Linked DNA regions of Mus musculus: region 2 is reported to be linked to region 1. The links are microRNA targets in miRTarBase. Many come from high-throughput screens and were not tested one by one. Region 1 holds a microRNA gene; the other region holds the end of a gene's coding sequence.
What was found. Region 1 holds the annotated microRNA mmu-miR-195a-5p (UAGCAGCACAGAAAUAUUGGC, at 3,061-3,081, opposite strand). A microRNA usually pairs through its seed, bases 2 to 8, with sites in the 3' UTR of a target mRNA and lowers its output. Matches are read on the target gene's strand: a 7mer-m8 pairs with bases 2 to 8, a 7mer-A1 pairs with bases 2 to 7 and ends in A, and an 8mer does both.

Region 1 (7,413 bases):
AAGAAGCGGTTCCCCCTAAGCTTGCTGTCTGTGCTTTCAGGGAGGGGCGGGCCCGGGCTGGAAGGGGCTGAGACCGGCCTCATCGAGGAGTCCGGACCCTCCGACGGAAGTGGAATGAAGCTAGCCGGAAGTGAAGCAACGTCTTCCACCTCGTCTTCCTCCGCGCGGCGAGGCCCCTTGAGTGACTGGGGAGAGGTCGGGTCTCGGCCAATCAGCTGCAGGGAGGGCGGGACTTCCTGCGCGGGAGCCCGAGCGGCCGGCTGCCGGGCTCTCCGTGGTTTCCAGCTCGCGTGGTGGTGGTGGCGGCGGAGCGTCTCCGTGAGGAGGTGCGCGGGGCCATGACGTCAGCGTCCACCAAGGTTCGACCTCCCTCGCGGACTGCGCTCCCTGGCGGCCACGGGAGGGTGGGCCCCCTGCCTGGCTCCCGGCTGGTGCGCGCTGGGCGGGGGGCGGGCGGATCCGAGGCTGGGGTGGGACGGCGCGCTGCCGGCCCCCCGTAATGCTGCTCCGCCCCCAGGTTGGAGAGATCTTCTCCGCGGCCGGCGCCGCCTTCACGAAGCTCGGGGAGTTGACGATGCAGCTGCATCCAGTCTCGGACTCTTCCCCTGCCGGGTACGTGAGACCAGCCTAGGACCTGGACTCCGAGATCAGACGCTTGGACTCAAGTCACAGACACGACCCTCTCTAGAGCAGGGAGATAGAGTAATTCCCCTGTGCCTGGCCCAGCTCAGTGTAGGTGGTAATTGTTGAATTAGTGGATGACAGGTAAAGAGACTACCGAGGCCACAGCCCTCCACTGCAAACCGACAGAATGTCTGCCACCTACCCCAAGCCCTGTGGACTCCCTCAAACTGCTGCCACACATCTTTCAAGGGTTGTGTTTGTAAGGCCCCTACTTGTTTCATTGGTTTCCGTTGGGTTGTTTATGGAAGCTGTTACATGATGAAGTGATGTTTTCAAGTGGCCCTGGATGTAATTTCATGTGGCCAGCGATTTGTCCCCAGGGCTTTTTTTTTTTTAAAAGGAGGTCCTTTTTATGAATCTTTGAAAGGTGCCCCTAGAGACTAGGGGGAAGAGGCTGCTGGCTGTGGACGGAATAGCCTGTGGGCTGGTTCCACACATCCCTCTTCCACTTTTGTTATCACCCTTCTCCCCTTCCGACAGTGCCAAGTGGACGGAGACGGAGATAGAGATGCTGAGGGCTGCTGTGAAGCGCTTTGGGGACGATCTTAATCACATCAGCTGTGTCATCAAGGAACGGACAGTGTGAGGGAGGGTGGCTGGCAGAGAAAGGGGAGGGTGGGCAACTTTCTTCCTCCTGACCCATTGTTCTCTCTCAGAACTCCCAGCTCAGCATCTTTCCTACTTTGTTCCTAGTTTTGTTAGCATTTCCTTGAAGACTGAGAGACTGTCACTGTGGCAGTTGGTCGGAAGATCAGGAAATGCAGTGGTCACTAGGGCCTGCAGAGAACTTTATTTTCATGGTGCCCAGATACTCAGTGGTTGTGTTTGATGATAAGAGTTCCCTAGCTATTTATGTAAATCCTTTGAAACTGGCATGTCCAGGGGATGCATTCTGAACTAATTAGTTGGTCAGGTTCTATGACAGTCTCAGTCTACCTTTATGTCACCACAACATACCTGGTGGTCCTACAAAACCATGCATCTCTCCCAGAGGATCATGAAAAGGGCCTTTCTGGCCACTCAGTTCAGGGACTCCATTCATCTTAATCTATTAGCCCTAAGTGGATGCAAAAGTTCTGAACGTGGGGGGGGGGGGGAGGACCCTTATTACACATGAACTGGGGCCTTGACCTGGATATCTACAAAGGAACTCCTAGAATTCCTTCAGAGTGGCCCATTATTCCCTCCCCTCCCCTCTTCCCTCGGCTTCTCTGATGACACCCTAATCTGCTCTCTCTCATCTTCAGGGCTCAGATAAAGACCACTGTGAAGCGAAAAGTGTATGAAGACTCCGGCATCCCCCTTCCAGCTGAGTCACCCAAGAAAGGACCCAAGAAGATGACGTCCGGTGTCCTCTCACCTCCAAACGCCCCTCCACCCAGCAGCTCCAGTGTCCCTGAAGCTGGGGTTCCTCCCATAAAGAAACAGAAGGCTGGTGAGGGCTGTGGAGTTGCTGCCTAGGGTAGGGGTTAAAGGTCCTATCTGAGATTCAATAAGAGAATTGGGCCTGGGTCAAAGAAGGAGAGACGCTTCTCTTCTGTACGCTGGTGATTCCAGAGTGGGTAGAGGGATGTGTAGAGCATGAAGCTTTGGCAGACTGGGAGGAGGGAAAGACAGCAGTCAGGGAAACCTAGAACTTAGCCTATGCCCCCTCCCAGATGTGACACTCAGTGCTCTGAACGACTCCGACGCCAACAGTGACCTGGTGGATGTCGAAGGGCTAGGAGAAACTCCTCCAGCCAAGAAACTCAACTTTGACCAGGGTAGGAGTCCTCCTCCTCCCACGCTGGCTGGGGGTGGGGAACATACTCACCTGGATGGTAGGGGAGGGTCCCCACAGAAAACCCCTTTCTGGTGCAGGGGCCTCAGAAGGAAGATTCAGTGCAGGGGAATGGGTCAGTTAGTAATACGGCGTTTGAGGAGGTGAGGGTTTTCTTGGAAAAATCCTCCACGCTTGCTCCATCTCTGTCCGTTTTCCTTCCTGTTCCAGACAGCCTGACCCTGGACTCTGGCCTCCTCACCACCTCCGCTGATGCTCCTCTCCTCTCCTGCTGAGCCTTCCACCTCTGACCCTCATTGTTCACCCTGGACCTGTGGATCACCTGGGACTCTAAGCAAGGACTGCCTGAGAGAGGGTCAGAGGGCTGCTGGAGCCATCCACCTCGTTCCTGATAACCATGTGCCCTCGCCCTTTGACTTCTGTGTGATGGACATTTTTATACAGAAAATTATAATTAAAAAAGATTCTCTCAACATGGTGCTGCCAGCTGCCGTTCCCTCTCCTCTGCTTCGCCCTCGGGGCTTGGCCCCTTCTCAGTAGCTCTCACCACCCTGCCTGGAGCAGCACAGCCAATATTGGCAGACTCACTTCCCCATGCCAATATTTCTGTGCTGCTAGAGCCAGGAGAGTTGGGTGTGGGCAACAAAGACTCTACTTTGCTCTGTGGGGCCAGAACTCATTACCAGGGTTCCTGATAACTGGTATCAGACAACCTGGGGGTTGCAGAGGGGCTCTTTCCAGTGTCTCCTGTCCCACCTTGCAAGAACTTCATCACAATACCCTAGACGGTGTGTGTGTGTGTGTGTGTGTGTGTGTGTGTGTGTGTGTGTTGCTTCTCCAGGGTGGCCTCCCAGGGCCAGGCTCATCGGTGCCTCCCATACCCTCGCTCTAACACCACAGTGTGGTTTGGACGTGGCCACAGTGCCGTACAAACCACAGTGTGCTGCTGGGGCGGGGGCAGGACTGGGGTGGGTCGAGAGGAAGACAGCACAGGCAGTGCCGTGAAGACCCCCACCTAGAGTGAGACAGAGGTGTGAATGGCAAACATGGCCCCCCAAAAAAGCTGGGGGGGGGGAACAATCAGGAACCAGCAAAAGTAGTTTAGCAGGCAAAGGATAGGGCCCTGGCAGATGAGTCCAATGTGATAAGCTTGGAGCATTCTTCACCTCTGTAGGAATTCAGCTCTGGGGATCCTTAGGAAACGGGATGACTGGGGAAGACCAACAAACTGCCTCCCACAAAGGCAGGGACCTAAGGTTTCCTGTGTCCATTCCTCCCTCCCTAGGTCAGAACCCAAGAGAAATGCTGGAAGACACAGGGCCAAGGACAGCAGGGTTGGGAGTTGGCAGTCCAGAGGTGGTGGGGCTGGAACACGGTTGAGAGAGGGGGGCCGGAAGTCGCCCTGGGCCCTGGGCCTGCCACAAGATGGAGGCCAAAGGCAGGAAATGGAGGCCAGGGAGAAAGGGATGCAGCAGAGCCCAGGAAGAGGCTCATCTGGACCAGAGGGCAAAGTATTCAACCCCAAGTGCTGCTTCCATTCCCCATGGTCCCCCAAGACCCACGCCCCACCCACACAGCAACACTCATTAGCCCATTCACCAGGCCCAGGCAAGCAGGCCCACCCCTGAGAGCCACGTTTAAGCAAAGACAAACATGCCTTTTCCCCACCCCCAACCCTAGGCCTTCCCATAGCCCTTTCCTCCTGTCCAAGACTTGATTTTAAAAAGAACCTCCCAGAAGGCAAAAGTTTCTTCTGGAAATTTCAAAACAAAACAAAACTCTGTAAACCCTAGATATTAACCTCCCATATCTCATCCCACCTTTTAGCACCACCAGGCTTCCGACACACCCCCCCAAAACTCTTAGCAATCAAAAGATTTAAGATGGTGTGTGAAGCAATCTTTTTAGGCCCCCCTAGTATGCCAGACCCTCTCCAAGACTACCAGATCACCTATATCAAGCCCTGCCAACGCCTCCTGCTCCTTGCACCCTCCTGGACCCCCAGAAACAACTGCTGTCCCCCAGCTCCCATCCCAGCAAAGCTTTTGTGGGGCTAAAAAAAAAAAAAAGCAAACACTGTCCTAATGTCTGTAGGAATATTGGGGGCTCTCAAGTCTCAAGCTTTGGTTTCAGTATGAGGTGCTACGTCTTAGGGGTACAAGAGAAAGCTTCTCTGGTCATCCCCCCAATTTCAAGAGTTACAAGGCGCAACCCCACCCCAGCACGCACCTCCAAACCTCCCCCCCAACCGCCACGTCTCTCCTGAAAACAGGGGACACTTTCCTCCCCACTTACCTCAGCTACTCTCCCCTGAGATCCTGGTCCCCTATTTTGAAAGGAGCAAATTTTGGGGTGCATCCCTCACATTTGGGGTGCAGGAGAAAAGAGACGCCCCAGTCGCATCGCTGGCCTCCTTCCTCTCAGCTGGCTCAAGGACTGGGGAGTGCCCTGGGGTGGGGGACCCCCACAAGAGAGCTCTGGAGGGGTTCCTCCACTCCCAGTCAGAACTGGGGACACCCCCCCAAAACCCGTCCCAGCCCATCCGTCTCCAACTCGGCGGGAGAGGCAGCTGCATTGCCCCAGTCAGATTCCCCCAACACTACATTCCTCACCCCATCTAGAGGGATCCCGGGGCCCCCAAAAAATCCCAAAAAAATCTAGGATGTTGGGAAGATGGTCCTGAACTAGCTACCCAAATTTGGGGTCCTTAGATACCCCCGTTTTTTCAGGAAAATTCTGTCTTTCTCCTGCCTCCCGCCAGCCCTGCTCTGTCCCGATGCCAATTTTGGAAGTCACTCCCTCCTTCCTCCTCCCCGTTTCTCCAGGCCCCCCCGCTTGGGGGCTAGGGTCCAGGACACCTGGTTTCCAGACCGGGGGACACTCTTTAGAAGGCTAGGGGCCAAGAGGTCAAGCTCATTGCCCCTGTCTCAAGGAAGCAGGAAAGCCCGATCCTCCCCTCCCCTCCCCTCCCCCCTGGCTGGTCTCGGTGGTGGTTTAGGAAAGCCTGGAGGACTGGAATCTGCCATTGCTATTGCACAGGCAGTTTTTTTTTCCTTGAGTTGGGGGGGTGGGCGGTGGGAGGGAGAGAGGGGAGGAGAGCCGAAGAGAGCAGGGACCTAGGCGGGAATATCTGGCCTGGCTTACCCTCTAGCCCCTGCTGCCGTTGGAAACCCCTCCCCCGCCTCTCAGTTCACCCTCATTCCCAATCCTCTGTCTGCTTTCTCTTTGGGGCTCTTATCTTAAAATATCAGGGTGCAAGATTCACCCCCCCCTTGTAGACCATCACAGCCTTTCCTTGCCAGTTTCAGCAGCACTGTTAGTCAGAAAGTACCCACTTTAACAAGAGACACCCCATCTCCTCCAAACGGATTTTTTCTTCCATAAGAAATCGGGGTTCAGAGTATGAAGCCACCTTTCCCCCCTTAGCACAACAGGTCATATTCCAGTGAGTCTATGATGGACCACACTGCTTTTTCCAGGCTTCACCCTTCAAATTCTGGCCTTATTTGGGGGTTCACTAATTTTTTTTACAATCTGGGGTGCCAGGGGACTATCAGCAAAAGATAACCTAAGTCAGAAGTGTGCTTTAGAATAGGTGAACCTCCAAATCAATTTCAATTTATGACCCACCTCTCAGCTTCACCAAATGTGGCCAGTGGCAAAACACCCAGAAACTGGATACCCCCCAAACTATCCTTCTACCCTGGGGGGGCTTCTCAATTCTCTCCTGTGGAGGAGTTTCACACATAAACATGTTCACAGGAATATCCAACCCTCAAAATGAGTTTCCACAAGATTCAAATACAAAACTTTGCCCCCCCATCAATCAAGCTCTCAGCTACAGAAAGCCTTCAGATCCTCTCCTAGCTTCTGGCTCTGCCACCAACTCAATGTAACTGGGCTCTCTAAAAAGCCCCAAGTTGACCTTTATGTCCCCAAACAATCTCATCCAAACCTTGAAACAGCACTTGGAAAGAGACTATGTCCCCCAAATTAGTTGCGTACTCATGCTCCCCCAGTAGACCAGAAATTAGAGATGGACAGTCTCACATGGGAGCATCAAATCCCTCCAAACCCCCGAACTAAGACATCTTTAAAACCAGCCCCGCACCTCCAATTTGCTATCAGCTGTCGAGACTAAAAACAGGCCTTATTGACTACAATAACTTCTATGGCAAGTGACACCCCAAAACTCAGAATAGCTAACTCTGTCCTGACATCAAAGCCCTTAATGTTTTCACCTCAAATTTGGAGATGAAAATTGGATAGAGACCAAATAATCTTCACAAAGTAAAGCCACATCGTCATCCAGGGTCCCTAGCTATCCCCAACCCCCAGTTGGTTTGCAGTTTTGTTTGCTACGTTTGCTTAAAAAAAAAAAAAATCAAAACCAATAAAACAAACAAAATGTACTCCACCCCCAAGAACAGAAGGGAGAGGCCTCAGGCCTAGATATGCTGGTCCATTCTTGCACAACTGCTATGCTCCAAACCCCAAACTCAAAGAGCTCCTGCTTTGTACCTGGGTTCAGCTCTGCCCCTCTTCTTCAAAGGAAACTTGTCCTTCTATCCCAAGGCTCCCCAAACAAAATCTAAGGGTGTGGTCCCTGCCTAGCTTCTGAATGAAGTACTTAGCTACCAGGTTCCTCCTGCCCTTTCTCCTCTGTCCTCTCTGTTTACTCCGACCAATGCTCATATTAATGTTCATTGAAAATTCCTGTCTACAAACATCTGGGTAGAAGGGTCTATCAAATTAGAAAACAAAACAACTGTGTTCCCAGGCTCAAGACCCCATCTCATCCTAACCACTATGTTCATTCCAAAGCCTTCCATAAGAGTTCTAGCCTGAATTTCCTGCGGAGACCCTAACTCTTCTGTCTTCGATCTACTGCCCCACAAAGAGACAGAGGTGCAGAGGAAACTATCAGAAAGAGAAGGCAGCTGAAAGTT
Region 2 (7,413 bases), not on the chromosome of region 1:
TTTTTTTGTTTGGTTGGTTTTTTTGTTTTTTTTTTGTTTTTGTTTTTGTTTTGAGACAGGGCTGTATTATATAGTCTGGCCTTACACCTGAGATCCTCCTACCCGAGGAGCATGCTGAGGTTATTATTTTCCTCTCAGCATTGTGATACACATGTGTAATCTTAGCACCTGAGAAGCTGAAGCAGAAAAACAACCAGGAGTCCCAGGCCAGTCTGCACAGTGAGTAACTAGAGTCACACGCCTTTAATCCCAGCACTGGGAGGCAGAGGCAAGTGGATCTCTGTGAGTTTGAGGCCAGCTGGTCTATAGGTTGGGTTTCAGGACAGCCAGGCCACAGAGAAACCTTGTCTCAAAAGCCACAGCTCTTGATATTCTTACAGAGGAGCTGAGTTCAGCTCTCTGCACCTACATGCTCACTCCACCCGTAACTTCAGCTCTATCGAATCCAACACCTTCTGGCCTCCACAGGTACTAACACACATGCACATACTCTCTCCCACACACGTATACATTTTTAAAATCTTTAAAAAACAAAATATCCCACAGAGCTAGGTGTGATAACATAACAGACTCCTGAATTCCTAACACTTGGGGGGTGGGGAAGCAGAAGCATCAGGAGTTCGAGGCCAGCCTCACTTATATAGGAAAGCTGAGGCTAGCCTGGGCTACATGAGACCCTGTCTCAAAAAAAAAAAAAAAAAAAAAAACGGGGGGGGGGCTGGGCCCAGAGACAGGTTGAGTTCAAGGTCAGCCTTATCTACATAGTGTGTTTCAGGACATAGTGAGCTACATAGCTACAGAGTAAGATCCTATGGCTTCTGACCTCCAAATGCTAGGATTAAAGGCTCTCTCAATTTTTAATGAGGCCCCTAGAAAAATGTAAAACTCTTTTTGTGACTTGCATTATATTTCACTGGTCAGTGATGACATATGACTTGAAGCCTTATGCTATTTTGAAAGACTTACTACTTTTCTATGTATGTATATGTGTGTTTGTGTGAATTTATGTGTAGCACTGACATGGAGGCGCCCACAGAAGCCAAAGGGTATCAGATTCCAGGGAACTGGAGTACAGGTAGCTGTGAGCTGTTCTATGGGTGCTGAGATGTGAACCAGGTCCTCTGTAAGAGCAGTAAGCACTCATAATGCTGAGCTATCTGTCCAGCCTTTCGAGTCTCTTTTAGAAAAGATCCTGGTATCTTCTGATGTGGTCCATCCTAGCTTGCAGTAACTTCCTAGCTCAGACCTTGTACAGAAGTGAGGTAGTATTTAAATGTGAAAGGGCTTCTACCAGGCTGCTTCATTTCAGCTTTGACTGGATAACTTTTAAAACATATTATTTCTGTATGGGTCTGTGTTCTGGTGCCCACAGAAAACAGAGGTGTTTATCATCTCCTGGAGCTGGAGGTTTGAACTACATGGCACTGATCCTAGGATCTGACCTCCTCTGAGTTAAGCAGCAAGTGCTCTTAGCCACAGCCATTTCTCTAGCTCAACTGATAGGCTGTTTCATTCTCTTTTTCAACTTTTTATTTGAAGGAAGCACATGTCATGGCACTCATGTGAGCTGCCAGACTCAGTATACCCTTTCCATTGTCCAAGACTGAACTTGGATTGCCAGGCATGATGGCAAGGACTGTAACCCACTGAGTCATCTCGACAGCCCACTGAGTGGCTAATCTTTTGATAAAGGGTCTGTCTAAGTAGCCCTGGCTGGCTTACAACTCATTATGTAGACAGATCAACCTCCAACTTTCAGTGACCCCTCCCATCCCTTGAATGTTGAGATTGCAAGTATATATGCCCATCACCAAGCTTGACTGGTTATGTTTTTAACAACTTTTTATCTAAAAAACTTGCTTTCAGTTGCTCTATCAGATTTGCTTATATTTATTATCCCCCACCCCAGTCAGAAAATACTGACAGCAGAAAGAACAAAACCTGCCCATCAGACAAAACCACAAATGGGATCTTTGTCTGCTCTTGCTGAAGACTTCACACTATCACATTCTATTTTCTAACCTATATAAGTTTTATAGGAAAATATAAAAATGTTTAAGTGCTAGTAGATACCTTCAGTTATACCGTAATTCGTAGTTTTACTTGTCATCTTAGACATGAGGATTTCCCTGATCATTTGATTTAAAATTAGAGAATCTACATATTTCTATCCTTCATCCTGTTATTTAAAAATAGTATCTTTAAACAGGGTCTCACACGTAGGCCAGGCTGGTCTTGAACTTGCAGAGCTGCCTAGCAGCTGCCTCCCTAACACTACGATGAAAGATGTGTGTCACCAGGCATCTTTCCTCATAGTATTTACTACCTTCTAACATAGTTATGAGATTTATTTATTGTTTGACCCCCTACTGGAGTGTAAGAGCAACATGTGAGCTGAGATATGTCTTCCCATTCTCTTTGCCTGTGAGCCTAGAACTGGGTTAAATACACAGGAAATATTTGATCATTTTTCTCTAGAGATGATGAATGAAGAGCAACCATTATATTATGCTTTCTGGTCAAAATTTCTGGTGTGTGTGTGTGTGTGTGTGTGTGTGTGTGTGTGTGTGTGTGTGTGTGTGTTGAACAGGGTCTTATATAAGCCACAGTGGCACTGATCCTGCCTCTTATTTCCCAAAAGCTAGAATTATAAACTGGCAGCACCACATCCAGCTTTGGGATATATTTATAGGTTATCGATTAGTTATATATTATTATTTTATGGTTATTCCCCGTAACCACATTTAAGGATTTTTTTTTAATTTTCAAAGAATTCAGCCAGACCTGGTGGCACACACCTGGAATCTCAACACTGAGTCTGAGGCCAGACTGGGCTACAAGCTACAAAAAAATGAGAGAAAACGCGAACAAAAACTTGATAAAGAATATCAATGATCTACCCAATTGAAAGAAACTGTAGGGTTTGGGTTTTGTTCTTTCTCCTGACAATGAGTCTTACCTTGCAGCCCGGTGGCTTGGAGCTGACTCTATGTAGTCCCAGCCAGATCTACACTTAAAGTCCTTGCTCCTGAAGTGCAAGAGACTTATAGCATGAGCAAGGACTACCCCAACCCAACCTCTCTACCCCCACAATGGTCAGAAATTATAACTAAGTGTTGCCCAACTTTATTAAAAGTGCCATCTGGATGAGTTGCATTTACACAGAACTATATAAAGAAAACAGTCATCTGTCCCTCTGGACAGTCTAAAACTTAGTAATCAGACCATTATAAAATAACACATTAGCCTAAATTATAATGAGGCTGATAGACAAACCTAAGGCCTTCTGGATCCCCACCTGGTATTGCTAATAGGACAGAGATATAAACTATTCTATTTGCCTGCAATTCTGTCACTAAGTATCTTTGCAGAAAACTCTGCCATCTGAGTAACTGGACAGCTTTGAACCTCACTGTTTTCCAGGTTGCTTTGGCAGCCAAGAAACTCACAGCTGAGTTCACAGCCTAGCTTTTGTATTTGAGAATATTACTTAAGAACAACCTGCATGCATTGATTACTCTTTTGCTTTCTATCCATCTGTTTAGAGGCAAGGTCTCAGGAAGCCTTAGCTGGCCTTGACCTCCCTGTAGACCTGGGTGGCCCACCTTCCTGTCTCTACCTGACTACTGGGATTGCAGTTGTTTGCCACCACACCAAACCAGGATATTTGAGGAGGTGGTGGTTGTGGGTAGGGGCTCTAGATGTACCACATGTGCCTACAGTTTCTGGAGGCTGGGGTTGGTATAGAATTTGTAGGTTTGGGTATTTGGCCAGGGATGGGGTGGGCGTGGTTTTCTTTTCCTTTTTTCTTTTTTCTTTTTTTTTTTTTAACCTCAATACTTTATTTCCCAAATCCCTATAACTCCAGTTATTCCCCTTAGCAAGGTCATGGCCACAAGAAATGACTGGCTTAGGGAGAGTTCTACAACCCAGGATGTACAGTATAGAAGTCACAAAACCCTGTTCAGTACTTCTCATTAAATTTCTGGGCTTTATTTATTTATTTTTAATACGACCATTACATATTACACAAAAATAAAAGTCAAATGAACTTGGCATTTATAAATTATTAAATAAAAATACAGGAATATATATTTATATTTATAGAGCTTTTTCTTTTCTTCTAAACTAACCAAATCTGTTCTCCTGCCGTTTATGATTTAAAAAAGTAAAATAGTATATGTATGCCCTAGTGTAAGTGGGGAGTAGGACTGGTAACTGCAGGACTGAGTGCCCACTTGCGCTCTTGCCTTGGCCTAAGCAAAGTCCCTATTTGTCCCTTTGGGCTTTGGAGAGCAAGAACATCCTCTCCAGCTACTTAGTATCTGAAAAATTATATCCATTTCCCTCATTTAAAAAAAATGAAATGGATTTAAAAGTTGGGAGCCATACTCAGCCTTCTTGGCCAAGAGCTAATCCCAAGGAACTATATGGCTCTAAAAGACAGTCCCTGGTTTTCCCTGACAGAAGAGTCTCTGGGTTTCCACTGGCCCTTAAAACGAAGGGCAGAACAGGTCACAACTCTCCACTGTGGTCCCATCTAAGCTTCTGAGAATCCAGACCAAGACCAACCCTTTAGCCTGTCCTAGCACAGCCTCTCCTCCCACCTGGCTGAAGGTCTGCTAGCAGAGCATGTTGGTAACCTGACCCTGGTTCCTGCTGCTCCTGTTTGCTAAAGGGCCCCAGGAATGCTACCTTAGGTAGGTGTCCCATGGGAAGGGTAGAGCAGAGACTTCCCTGGACGTGGAGGAGCACAGGCTCCAGATGGAGCTGATGGTCTAGTCAGTGGTTTTCTAACTTTTTTCAGCAGCAAAGCCCTTACCACAAATAAAATCTTACCCTGAACCCCGATACATAAGACAGCTACAAGGGGGAGCTGTTCTGTTTGAGGGCAAACTGCCCAGCCCTCCACTCCCTCATCTCCCTAAGGACTCCTGAGGCAACCCCTAGGACACTTCGGGGCTCTGCCAAGCAGTTTGAAAACCACTGGCCTAGTTTGTCCTGAGCAAGTCAGAGCCTCCCACTCTGACTGCTTGTCACAGACAGCTCCGAGTCTCTTAGATCATCACCCTCAAAACAGACCAACTGGCACATGCAGCCTCCCACATCCCCCATAGACACTATGAAAAAGTGCAACCTTCTCTCAAAAGCCAAAGTCTGGACTAAAACACCTGAGGCCAATTTGGTCCCACATTCTAGCAAGCACGATATGATGCCACATTCTAGGACCAAGTGAAGAGGTGGGTCAGCTGTGGTCTAGCCAAGCTGGTCAGTGCTCAGGAGAGGCAGGTAGGGTTCTAGAGCACTGGGAACGAAGTCAGCATTAAAGAGCAGCAATGTTAGCACCTTGGGAAGTGCAGCAGTGAGGTCTGGCTCAGGGCATGCATTTGGAGTGAATCATTTCCTCCCTCAAAAGAAAAGGCTAGAGTCTGGATTTGTTCTAGGGGACTGGACTGTGAGTTCTAATGTGACCATCTTCAGAGACTCGAGTGTTGACAACCTATGCAAAGAGCATGGCTTCAAAAGAAAACGCGTTAGGTCATGGCAGGTACTCTAGAACCCATATCCCTGGCCCCTGATAGAGCAGCAGCACCAAAAACCCACCACCCAGAACAGGCCAGTCAAGGAGTACCTGTCCCCATCACTCCCAAGGGACTCAGAGCTGGAATGGTCCTCTCAAGGTATCCGCAGTCTCACTGAGACAGTTCAGGAACTAAACTGAATTGTAGATCAGCATTTATGCCCGTATCTTCTAAAGGAAAACTAGATCCCCAATTTAGACTCAGCTGGATAGAGAGACCCTAGAAACAGGCAACACTTTAGGCACCATTGTGCCACCGTTGGAGGGGAAGGTGACAGGCAAGTCCAACTACCAAAGCTTCTACCCACCCAGGCTCCACAGCCTTACCCTTTTTCAGCCCAGGTGCACAGATGCACACAACAGGGGGATGATGAAGAACAAGGCCAGCTGCAGAACTCTTCTCTCCAAAGCCCTGCCAACAACTCTCGGCAGCACCAGAGCCCTAGTCTAGATACAGTGTTCCTCCCTCAGCCTGGAGGCGTAAGGTCAAGGGAAGGGGCAGAGAGGAGAAGGGCAGTGAACTGGCCCTTGTTCTTGCCATAGCAAGAAGGAATGTTTTCTCTAAGTACCCCACCACCAGATTCGACAGACAGCCCAGCATGCACATGAGCATGCTTGCATGTGCACATACATGCACAGGTGTGCCCATGCAGCCCACAGCCACAGCCATTTCACCCAGTCACCTGATCACCAAGCTTCCATCCCAAAGGGAAGTGAATTCTAGGCTCCCTAAATCCCATTCATCTAGTCGAGACACAGATCTTTGAAGTAAGCTCACCGTCCTTGGAGCTACAAGCCATGTTCCGGGTAGTTGTGTGCCCGCGATATGGGCATGATTCCTCCCACCTCCCCACCCCCACCCCCCAAGCCGTGGGATGACTCCACTCTCTGGGTTCTTGGCCTTGAAACATTCCTTAATGTTTCCAACTCATTCTCCCTGCCACCTGCCTGGCATGCTGGGCTCCCACACACACTACCTTCCCCTGCCTTTCTCTGTTCCGTGACCATCCAGTTTCTTCCAAGGGCATTCGCTATTGTTCCAGCTCTCCTGGCCCCTAGCCACACCTAGCCCCACCTGGCCCTAGACTTTCTCACTTGCTAGCAAAAAAGGCCCCTACAGTTACCAGGGCCCCCAGTGCCACGGCCCCCGTCAGCACTGTCCTCACTGATGCCCAGTTCCCCTCCCGCAGACGCCGTGCCTCCTCCAGGGCCCCGTCCCCGTATAGAGCTGTGAACTCCGCCTGTGGGAGAGAAGGGAAGTAGAGAAAGGAGAAAGGGAGATCAGGAAAGGATAGTGGAGAGACGAGGGAAGGAAGAGTTCCAGTTCCATCCACTGTGAGCACTGCCCCCATCCCCAGCTGCTCCAGCCGAAGCTCTACTGCACACAAGCCCCTCCGAACCCCGTTCCTGGCTCCTCTGCACTGTCTACGTGATGTCAGCCCCATCCCTTCCATGGCAATAAAGTTCCGTTCAGAACTGGCATCCTTTGCTAAGGCTTGCCTAGCCATGACCCATCCCTGACCGGCCTCACCACCCATACTATGTACGCAGGGGTCACAATTATTCGCTGAAGGTTCTCTGTTTATAAAACTCTATATTCAGTCTTCTGCTTGGGACCGTGAAGCCCATCCAGCTACTACTACATGGTAGCCCTGGAGTACTGTGAGCTTGATGCTCTCAGTCTGATTCCACTTAAATAAGGGAACTCAGCCCTTCCCAGCACAACCCCAGCCTCCCATCAGAGGCCCTATTTTCCCATGAAGACCAACTTTGTAGAGGGATGCGGAGAGCAGCAATTGAGAACTTCTTACCCAGCCCCCACTGCTGTGGAT

Region 2: the mRNA of Bcl2l2 is a reported target of mmu-miR-195a-5p. Seed matches in the 3' UTR shown: 7mer-m8 at 5,586-5,592, 7mer-m8 at 5,583-5,589, 7mer-m8 at 5,330-5,336 and 7mer-m8 at 4,806-4,812.

The regions. Positions count from the first base shown.
Region 1 is chr11:70,230,730-70,238,142 of GRCm38, reverse strand. Mir195a (microRNA 195a) reads right to left here and starts at 3,101; the gene lies at 3,008-3,101. It overlaps 0610010K14Rik (RIKEN cDNA 0610010K14 gene), which reads left to right and starts at 229. Exons shown (of 6, transcript NM_145758.1): 1 at 229-359; 2 at 518-612; 3 at 1,165-1,266; 4 at 1,932-2,119; 5 at 2,343-2,447; 6 at 2,679-2,939. The coding sequence starts at 339. The coding sequence ends at 2,683. It overlaps Mir497b (microRNA 497b), which reads left to right and starts at 3,327; the gene lies at 3,327-3,451. Mir497 (microRNA 497) reads right to left here and starts at 3,426; the gene lies at 3,343-3,426. It also overlaps Rnasek.
Region 2 is chr14:54,884,793-54,892,205 of GRCm38, reverse strand. Bcl2l2 (BCL2-like 2) reads right to left here. Exons shown (of 4, transcript NM_007537.1): 3 at 7,393-7,413; 4 at 3,972-6,822. The coding sequence ends at 6,673. Among named protein-coding and RNA genes, the nearest start is that of Bcl2l2, 5.1 kb to the right of the region's middle.